Linked DNA regions of Schizosaccharomyces pombe. The protein of the gene in region 2 interacts with the protein of the main gene of each other region in a pairwise test. Each region holds a gene or a part of one and is shown on either strand. Other genes may lie near its edges. The genes, in order: dys1 and trm734.

Region 1 (4,985 bases), 820 kb from region 2:
AGGTTTACCCGTACTGTCGTGGTGAATTTTTTCCCAAACTGTGTCCAAATTTTTGTAGGTTTGAACTTTTCGGTCAAACTGATGCTTCGTAAGTTTCATATCCACTCTTGTCCAACAAGCTATTAAAGCCTTTTTTTGCTCCTCATTCATGATTGCAGAGAGCATCGCTTGCACATTGTGCGGTTTGGATGAGCTGAACACCATTACCGAGAAGTTGGCGAAGATGTATTTAAGAAAGTTATGAAGACCCGGTCTCGGAATAGGATTACGAGAGGCTTCGTATACGGATTTTTCTGATCTGACTGCAAGCGCGCGACATAGCAAAGTTCCATTCAAGTCTAAAATAACTAATTTCCTATTGTCTGTCGCACCATTGCAAGAAGAGGCCTGCGAAAGATATGTGAGAGAGGGTTCTGGTGCCATTAAGTTTAAAGTTCGTTTTTTGTAAAATTGTATTCTGTGGAAAATTGAGGGACTGATGCGCATCAACCCGATCACTTTTTCGACGGGTAAATTAAACTTGTTTGGAAAATGGTGCTTTGGTATATCAAAGCCAAAAACTGATAAAAATTAACAATATAAAGCTTTGTAGACAACGAATATTAAACGAGTACTTGAAGCCAGCACAATACAAAGCACTAAAATTCTACGTTACAAGGAACTCGACAAATAATCGCAGGAAATGACTAAAACCGTAAAAGAATTAGTTTGTTTCTTCGCTTCGAAGATTAAACTTACAATCCTTCTATAATTAGCGCGTTTCGTAGTGATCCCGACACATCTACCTCTTATATGTTTTGATAGGTGTTCAGAAAGTAAACTGGAGTTCTGAGAAGTTTATATTTGCGAACTGGCGGGTCATATCAAATACGCGGAAATACGGGAATAATTATTATAACTAATGCCTAGCCACAGTGGATCATAATCTGAATGTTTCACAATTGACACCTCATCCGTGTGGCTGTACAATGAATTTTGGAACTGCTAGCTGTAAGGTGATTGTGAGATAAACCATAAGACAAGGAAATATAAAACTAGTAGTTTTTAAACGGTTGCTAATTAGGAATATTAATACGGACACTTCATGATTACAAACAACCAAAATGACATTAGGCAGTTAACTAAACAATATGACAAGTTAGTATTATTTCTCGTAAAAAAAAATTTATGATTAAACAAACATAATTGATTTTTTGTAAGCAACATTTTAATGTATATTTAATAATTTTTTCTATAAAAACCCAAACATTGGTGAACTTTTTAGGAGATTGAAATGCCTTTGCTTTTGATCAGTATAAAAAACAAACGCCCCATAAGAATCGTGTTCTAGGAAAATAAAGCTAAATTCTATATTATTTTAATTCACTTCGCGAAGGTAGCGGCCACAATTAAAGGAAATAAGAGACTCACCTCCCCGTAAACCTACAGACATCAAAAGTTAGAATTTGCTATATACAAGTATAGCGTCACATACCTTTACTTTCTTAGCATCGCCACGAATTTTTCCCCAACTGACAGCTTCATCGGGTCGAGCACCAGCATCACTACCATCAAATTCGTTGGCAGAATTGATGTAGACGCTCCATTCTGCCCCATTGCGCATTAAGTTTGCATTGCAAATATGATGCTTGACAACACCACCCCCAAGAATGATGATTCCAGACTTGTTGGCACGAACAGCATGAGTATTCATGTTTCGGATATCTGCGACAATATCCAAAACTAATGGACGAGGAGTCGCTTTGTAAGTATGGAAATAAAGCATATCACCAATCGATCCATCTGTAAGAGCAGGACTATAGATAGGTATATTATTCTTATATGCCCAATACAAAACACTAGACTCATCATTGATTTCTTTACCCAGACGACGGATAAAGGATGAAGGAGTCCAATGAGTACCAAGAGTCTCTTGTTCCTCGACCATTTTATTAAGGATGGGAAATATCCATTCCTCAAAACGGCAATAATTATCGTTTGGAACAATCAAGTTACCGATACGGTTCAAACCTTTGGCACGAAGATTTTTCCCATCTAAATGAAAGTCGCCAACATAAGTAGGGCCAAGACACTTAATTATGTCTTCTTCAACACCTCCAGCTGTTGTAACAATAACATCTACACATTTGTGCTGGACCAGATAGCGCAAAACTTCACGGACGCCAGAAGATATCAAGTTACTGGTGTAACCAAGGAAAATGGTAGCACGATCACTTTTCTCTTCGGGGGGATTGGGATCGCGCCAATTTCTCTGTAACAATTAGTATTGCTCAATCGATATGTGCCTAGCAGGCATAAAGTAAGTCATATTTTTTCACAATTTTAACAGAATAGCGTATGAAAGCTAAAAGAATATCAAGAAAAAAAAACTACATTTTAAACATACCATCTCATTTATGATAGTCACCGCATCATGAAGGTTGGTAGCCTGGAATCCAATTTTTCCATACGACTCGACCAACTCTTCTACTGTTATGCCAGGTCCTCCAGCCTTCTTTCTCTCATCATACTTGTTAAAATCTGGTCCGACGACTTCAGTTGTCAAATCACTAGGCTTTGAAGAGGCTACAAAAACGGCGTCCTTTGCTAGAGATTCATCCATGGTTTACGATAATTATCGGTATGGTAAATTTCTGAATAATTCCAAAAAAAAAAAAAAGCTTTTTAATATATGTAAATGAGTCTATTTAATGAAAGAAAATCAAATATTATAAGACTCAATTCCCTTAGTGTAGAGGAGAAAAATTCTAACAACACGAATGATTTAAGCAACAATTTTGATTTTTATAATTTATCAAAAAACCCGAGAGAAGATGACAATTATTCTAATTACTCTCTCAAAATATGAAAATTTTTAAACAAAAGGCTAAAAAAATGAAGAAAAAAGTTTCCAAAGCAGTTTTCGTTGACTTTTTACGATATACGTTCCGGGTACTGGGTTTCGTAGAAAATCGATCTACATGAATTGCCTGACTTGAATGAAAATTTCCATCACTAAAATAAATTTTGGATTGATGCGATTAAATTACTTGATCGGATGCCGACCAAAAGAGTTGAATACATGATTTCAAATGACTATAAGCGAAAATGCTAGGGGGCTTTACATTACAAGTATAAGGAATTATAACTGGTTTAAATCTAAGTACTTAAAAAAATTTTAAAGCAACTTTCAAAGATTTATTCATCTGTTTAAAAATATTTCAGCAATCTATCGGAAAAACAAGATAGTCAAGTCCAAGAAACCCACAAAAAAATGAGTTAGCTGACACTAGGTATTAAAACATTGCACCAAATCAGCAGGCAACTGGAGTTAAGTAATTTTGATCTTAAAGCAATGAATTTTTCATAAAAGTTTTTGAGAATACCAGATGGTAAATTCAAGAGATATGTGGCGAACAGAGATAAGAGTAGTATAGAAACAATTAAGCTTGATTACAGGTACCGAGTTCACCAAATCAACTCACGATTACAGTTGAGGATAGTAAAATATTAGAAAGAGCATATGAAAATTACACATGGCTCTAATGTCAAAAGCCTACTGCTTGGCAGACGGGAAAAAAATAAAATAGAAAGTAAGTATCATAATGGAAGTACGATTATTCATTAAACAGTCAAATAAAACATTAGAAAATGCAAACGAAAATGAGGTAACTGCTGTTGAAAAGGGAAAAAAAGTAGATCAAAAAATCGTGGATCCATCATTACTGATTGAAATTATAGGAACGATAAAATTCGGAGCGTCAAAGGGAAGATATTTAGAAAACGAAGATGACGGGAAAGGTAACGTGGCCTCCCGTGCAAACAAAGCCAGCTAAAACATTAAAAATAATAATAAGGATAACAGTAATAATAAAACTCCAGCTTAAGAAGAAGAAAAAAAAGTTCTAAGATGGTGTTTTGTAAAAATGTTCAAGTTAAGAATGGATTTTAAACTTTACTTATCAAGGTATCACCATGTTCTTTTTCAAGTTTTATACGGTTGCGTTCATGCTCTTCCTTTCTGAGAGAGAAAAGAGCAACGCAATCATGATCTTCCATAAGACGATGGGCAGCACAAAATCTGCCATTGCAATGCAAGCAATTGCCAGCGAGGCGCAAAGTAATCCTCGTGCAAGTTGGATGGCAACAACGTCTTCTAGAAGTCGCTGGGCGGGTAAGTAATGCTTTGTCAGAACTCTTCTCGGATTCAAGAGGAGGGTTTGTTAAATTGGATTTAGAAATTGAGGGAATGGTAGAGGATTGCTTGAAATTCGACACAGCTTCCGTAGATGCATGATTAGGAGTTAAAGGGGAAAAATGTAAGTGGAAAGCAGATGTAGAGTAGTCTTTGAAATCAATGTCACATGAAGAAGGTAATGGTGCAATATGAACGGCAGAGTCGTGGATAATGCCATAATCAGCGCAAGTCATATTCATGTTTAAACGAGTTCCATGGTAATAAAATGCATGGAGTGATTTTGCATTTTTTGGGAGGATTCCCTGATCAGATAGCAAATCAAAGATATTTCCAAGACTAGAATGCTCGTCTACTTCAATTGAATAAGATTGTGAAGCGATAATTTGCAGCAGGACCATGATTTTACAAAAACAATAGTAAGGGTGTAGAGGATGAAGCAAGAAATATTTAATGAAACAAATAACTTTTCAAAGGAGAAGTAAATCGAAAAATAATCAAAAGAAAAGGAAGAAAAGAAACGTACCGGATACGATAGTGATTAGACAGTAAAGAAAAAAAAATAAAAGCTGTAGCAAAGGAAACACTGATTTAAAAAACAGTAAAAGGCAATTTTCAATTTAATTTAGAAGAAACCGCGTAGATATTTAGCAACGGAAGCGTTTCGGTTGATGAAGTAAGCAAGCAGATTTCAAGAAACAATCAAACACTTCCTTTCTTAGGCAAGGAATTTTGGTGAAAAGAAGGTTATAGAAATTCGAAAGAAAGGTAATTCTATTAGAATTTTAAACAAAAATGTGATTCACTTGTT
Region 2 (5,798 bases):
TGACATTGTAAATGTAATTACCCCGCTTGAGTGTACCTTGATAAATTCGCAAATAGGTGAGCTGGCCAAACCTTCCCTCCTCGAGTTTGAAAGCAAGAGCGACAAGCGGCTTCTCACTGCTAGGAACAAGGGATACTGGCTTTTCTGAGTCTGCTGCATTCAAAGCTATATTTTCGACCTCAGAAGGGTTGGGTAGGTAGTCGCAAACAGCATCCAAAACAGATTGAACTCCAACATTGGACAAGGCAGAACCCATTAATACAGGTGTAAACTTCCTTGCAAGTGTAGTTCTACGAATAGCTCCCATAAGCTGCTCAGGTGTAGGGTCTTCTTCCATTACGTATATATCAGCAATTTCTTCGTCTAAATCGGCAAGCTTTTCAATTAAAGCTGAGCGCTTTTCTTTTGCTAGTTCAATAAGATTCTCAGGAACCTGCTGAGAAATTTCGATTTTCTCACCCTTCGACCCACGATTATAAATTGCACGCATTTGTATAAGATCAACCACACCTTCAAGTTTGTCTTCTTGACCTATAGGAATTTGAACAGCTGCAGCGGGAATTTTCAATTTTGTGTTTATTTGCTGAATGACCTTCCACGGATCTGCACCCATACGATCCATTTTGTTAACAAAAGAGATCCTGGGGACATTGTAGCGGCGCATTTGTCGATCAACTGTGATAGTTTGCGATTGAACACCGGAGACAGCACAGAGTACCAACACTGCACCATCTAGCACACGTAAGGCACGCTCCACCTCAATGGTAAAATCAATGTGACCAGGTGTATCAATAATATTAATGTTATAACTTTTCTCAAAGTCAGTTTTTTGTTTTTCGTTAGCTTCAATCTGATCCACAGTACGTTCCCAAGTGCAATGGGTAGCAGCCGATTGAATGGTAATTCCTTTTTCCCGTTCAAGTTCCATGAAATCCATTTTTGCTCCGACATTATCCTTTCCTCTGACTTCATGAATGTCTTTTATCCTTCCTGTATAGTACAAAACTCTTTCAGTAAAGGTAGTCTTGCCGGAATCAATATGGGCAGATATTCCAATATTTCGAATTTGTTTAAGTCGCTTTTTATCGTTATCATTCAACTGTTCTTGGATATTCAAATTATTTTCTGATGTATTAGAAGCTTCAATGCCCGTATTTGCTACTGACGCGTAACCACGGACGACTAAAGTAGAAAGTCTGGGGAGGCGGCTTGTCAGCGACCTAAATGATAATTTTAGCATTTTATATTATTTCAATAGAATATAAAAACAGCCATGAATAACATAAACAATAAATTCCTAGCTTTGGGAACACGCTGAGGTGGTGAGAGTCGTCGAGCAAGGTGGGAGGAGCAAAGTCGCTTTGTTTACGTGTCGCGAGTTACCGCGGTAACATATTAAATTTATTTAAACGTAAATCAAATACTTACTTAACGCATTTTTAATGAATAACAAAATATACATTTTATATGGAGAATATATATGTATTTGCAATTGAATGTTGCTGATTATTTAAAAGTAGCTTGCTTATCGTCAAGAAAAAAGCGACTTCGTTCTGTATTCGGTATCTCCATGTTTAAATGATTCATGAGGCGGTCCAAGCATAGTACTTATAAAAGAAATACAACTATTTTGTCATGAAGTATTTTGGGCATTGTATCAGAAAGCGCGCTTTTCTAGTATCCACAATCGGTTTGAACCTCACCACCATCGCAATCTATTTCTACTACTAGGGTTTTTTGCTCTTTGCAGTTTTTTAAGCTGAGCTTATTCAATCCTTACTGCTTAATCGGTTAATACCATTTTTTTTCTAATTCTTCTCACGGTTTTTATGACGGCGTATTATATTTAGCTTGAAGAATCTGGACTTAAAAATCTAAGAAGGGTTTAAGAATGCTTGTTGAGGGTGATAAAGGTGTTTTAGAGCCAGTTAACTTTGTGGGTCCTGTTACTAGCTTGGCCCTTATTCACAATGATAAGTTTTTATGCTGTGCTCAAGGACCTTGTTTAAGAATTTACGATGTTTCTGAAAGTCGACACGAAAGTGATTTAATTAAATCAATTTTACTTCCATTTCATAATAGAATACATGGAATGCTTCCTTGTAAACAAGGATTATTTGTTTGGGGAGGAACCTATTTTGCAGTTGTTGATGTTGAAACGAGCCAAGTTTACTATGACCGTATATCTGACTGGATATTTAATGCAGCGGAGCTTGGTGAAGAAAATAAATTTTGCGTCGTTACATCGAAAAATCAAGTTCATCTTCTTTCGTTAAGTAAAGGTTCGTGGGAAGTTACAAATACAATATCTTGCGAGAAAACGCCTCTTTTGTTTTGCGCAACGGTACAAATAAGTGGAAATGAAATTTACATAGCTTCTGCTTCCGCTTTTCAGCAAATTTACGTGTGGAAATTCAATTATAACAATCCACCTTCTTGTGTTTCCATTGACACCTACCTTGTTGGACACGAAGGTGCTTGCTTTGATCTCAAGTTTTCATCGGATGGACGTTACCTTTGCTCAGTTTCTGAAGATCGTACCCTAAGGCTTTGGTCGATCGAGTCGTCACCCTTTTTAATAGCGACAGGCTTTGGTCACTCAGCTCGTGTTTGGCGTTGCGTGTTTCTACCCAACAAAGAAATAGCCACAGTTTCTGAAGATTTGACCTTACGTCTCTGGACTTGGAATGATAAAACGCTCACTAATACTTACACATATACTGGTCATCGCGGGAAACACATATGGTCACTAGTTGTCTCCTCTGCGAACCCAATAATATATACCGGTGGAAATGATGGATCAGTTAGGTCTTGGGATTACAAAACTCGTATTCAGGAATCCTGCATCTCAGTATCCTCATTGTTCACCTCAAAGACTTTGCTTGCTTCTTTTTGTTTTGTTAAATGTCAAAAATTATTATGCCTTGCCAAAAATGGGTAAGCGATTTGCATGCTATCAAATATTCATCTGTCTAACCCAATTAATTTAGAGAAATGTCAATTATAGATAATAAAGGAAAAAAAGCTATTCCTGCTTTGACTACCACATCGGACATGTCTATAATTCGTTCTTGGAAAAACTCTTTTTTTGTTGCTGCTGCCTCCAACAAAGGTACTATATATGTGTTTTCATATCAAAATACGAATTTATTAAAAGCTATTGATTTGCATAGGGGAAAGATTCAGCAACTGCTTACTTATCAAGTTAAAGAAAGATATTTTCTACTATCAAAATCATTTGTAGGAAAAAACCAATTTCGAGTTTACTTACAGGAATTTGATTTTGAAGCCGATAAGGTCAACCTAATTTCAACAATAGAACTGGAGTTGCCGGCAACATTTGATCCGACTTCTCTTACAGTTGATGAAGAATATTCAAATTTTTTAATTGGTTCTCGAACAGGATCGCTGGCTTTGTACAATATTGGTGAAAGCAACTACCTTTCTGTATGGAGGAGAATTCATGAATTTGATGCAATTTCATCCATTCACATCAAGTCGTCAAAACGTGATTACCTCTTAATTCAAACAGTCGGACGTGATGGTTATGTCAATTTATTTTCAATTCCGAGGGTAGAAAAAAGTGCTGTTCCTCAGGAGCTGTGTTCGAAAAAATGTTGTGATGGTATACTAAGCGGGGTGAGTATTATCTTTAAGAATATACGGTTCATGGTTCAGCTAACATATGCTAGGGTTTGTGTAAAAAATTAAAAAATGGAAAGGAAAATCAATGGGTTTGGGGTTTTCATGCATCAAATTTTTTTTTAAGGGATGAGACAAATGAAACTAATGTTTTCTTTATTGATTGTGGAGGTAGTCATCGTCCATGGGCTTTTTCAATGGAGATGGACATTCAAAGTTTTGCATCTTATAGAGCAAATCAACTTTATATTTATAGCACTGCTTTAAATCTTTTGCAAAGAAATTCTGTATTACAAAATGGTTTGCATGGGCGTGAGATTCGAGCAATGGATTTCAATCCTTCAGGGGATCTTTTATTATCAGGATCTGAAGATACTAAAGTAACCCTGCTTGAGTTTCAGAGTAATGGAAACATAATTCCTCTGAATTCTGTCAAGTTTCATAATTCAGGAATCCAATCGCTGACCTGGTTTAGCGATGATATTTTATTTTCCACTGGTGGTCTTGAAGAGTTAAATGTTTATAGGCTAATACAAAAGCCAGAGGCATATCTGAAACGGATCGTTCATGAAAAACTCTGCAAACCAAATAAAAGTAACAAGACTTACGATGGGGATCTTCGAATAACTGACATTTCTGTTGTAAAGGCAACCCATCTGGGTGAAAGAGTGTTATGGATTAATACTGTACAGTCCGATTCGACTATCAAAGCATTCACTTATAACGTAGATACGAAGCAGCTAAATTGTATAAAAAGTTGGAAATATAAGACAGTTTGTTTGGTTTTTGCCGAGGCTGTTATTTTCGGGTCTCATTTATTGTTGGTGGTTGCTTCGACTGATGGTAATGTTGCTATTTGGAACACATTTTGGAGGGATCCTCAAATTGAGCCATTAATAATTTGGATAAAAACAGTGCATCAATTTTGTGTTAAGTCATTAAATATTAGCAGGGATCAAGATGTGTTAACGATTTCTACGGGTGGTGATGATGGTGCAATTTCTCGATCTATACTTTTGTTAGAACAAATAAGTGAAAATTCAGTAGTAGTCAATTCTTTACATAACTACTTTTTTGCTGAAGCTCATGCTTCCAGTGTTACAGGTGTTTTATCAATTACCAAAGAGCTTTTGCTGAGTGTATCCATTGACCAAAGGATATTACTATGGAAAGTCGAGGGTGATTCATTGAAACCGATCCTGGAAAGATATACTCACGTAGCTGATGTGGGTGGCATGATCCGAAATAATGATTTTTTGATAATTTACGGAATTGGTTGCGAAGTTTTTAGACTGGGTTCTTTACGATGATTATTTGCTCAATAATGTCTACTACTCGCCTATTCATTCAGTTTACTCTTATACACTTCAAGGGACCTATCTTTTCATTTATCATGACGATGGTTTAAAAATAATAAATAATTGATTTGATTGAAAGGCGGCACAGCATTTATCGGTATTAAGTATGTGTAGTACTCATAATTTCTTTGTCCTCGAAGACAAAGAAACATAACAGTTACGTGTCAAAAATTTCTTTGTTTCAAAGTATTATAATAGACTTACATTCCATAATAGTTCTTCTATCCCTAAACTAATTTTGCTAAAGTAAACAATTTAAAATTACGGTTTAAGAATGGAAAGAGGAACTAGTAAATTCAGCTGGATTGGACTTGTTGCAAGAATATACAACTATATTCCTCATCCTAGTATTTTTTCGAATGCTATTTTAGGAATTGCATGGCTTTTTTTAATATTTTTATGTTGCAGCTGCTTAACGAAATCATCTATTTTTGCGAGATTACTAAGAGTAAAGAATGAAACAACCACCGTAGACGTCGGTTTCTTTGGAGTGTGTGATCAAGCTATTAATTCAACGTCTCGAGTTTGCCATGAGCTTCGAAATTGGGATCAAACAACTGGTGGTTTAGCATATGAAACTTCGAGATTTGCGTGGCTTCAAGTTCATCCTGTTCTCCTCGCGATTGTTGTTGTATTTTCAACACTATCCATTGTTTTGACTATTTTAAAGTACTTGGCTCCTGCATACATACGCCAATGGTCAATAAGTTGTTTAACTACTAGTACAGCCGCCTGTTTGCTTTTAGCACTCCAAATGGCTTTAGCTCATATTTCGGCTAATTCATATGCTGTAGGAAT

Evidence for each region.
Region 1: the proteins of trm734 (region 2) and dys1 interact in a two-hybrid assay, tested with the Schizosaccharomyces pombe proteins (one large-scale study listed by BioGRID).

The regions. Positions count from the first base shown.
Region 1 is NC_003423.3:363,032-368,016, reverse strand, and holds dys1 (eIF-5A-deoxyhypusine synthase), read right to left. Parts: upstream 2,934-4,985; 5' UTR 2,603-2,933; coding exon 2,387-2,602; exon of another isoform or gene 2,252-2,386; coding exon 1,475-2,251; exon of another isoform or gene 1,423-1,474; coding exon 1,363-1,422; 3' UTR 759-1,362; downstream 1-758. Other genes in the region: SPOM_SPBC1271.03C (NLI-interacting factor-like phosphatase family protein), read right to left, coding at 1-423; SPOM_SPBC1271.05C (zf-AN1 type zinc finger protein, involved in ER membrane translocation), read right to left, coding at 3,928-4,575.
Region 2 is NC_003423.3:1,179,153-1,184,950, forward strand, and holds trm734 (protein Trm734), read left to right. Parts: upstream 1-1,694; 5' UTR 1,695-1,891; coding exon 1,892-2,937; intron 2,938-2,990; coding exon 2,991-3,639; exon of another isoform or gene 3,640-3,692; coding exon 3,693-4,952; 3' UTR 4,953-5,098; downstream 5,099-5,798. Other genes in the region: mef1 (mitochondrial translation elongation factor G), read right to left, coding at 1-1,240; claudin-like protein Dni2, read left to right, coding at 5,275-5,798.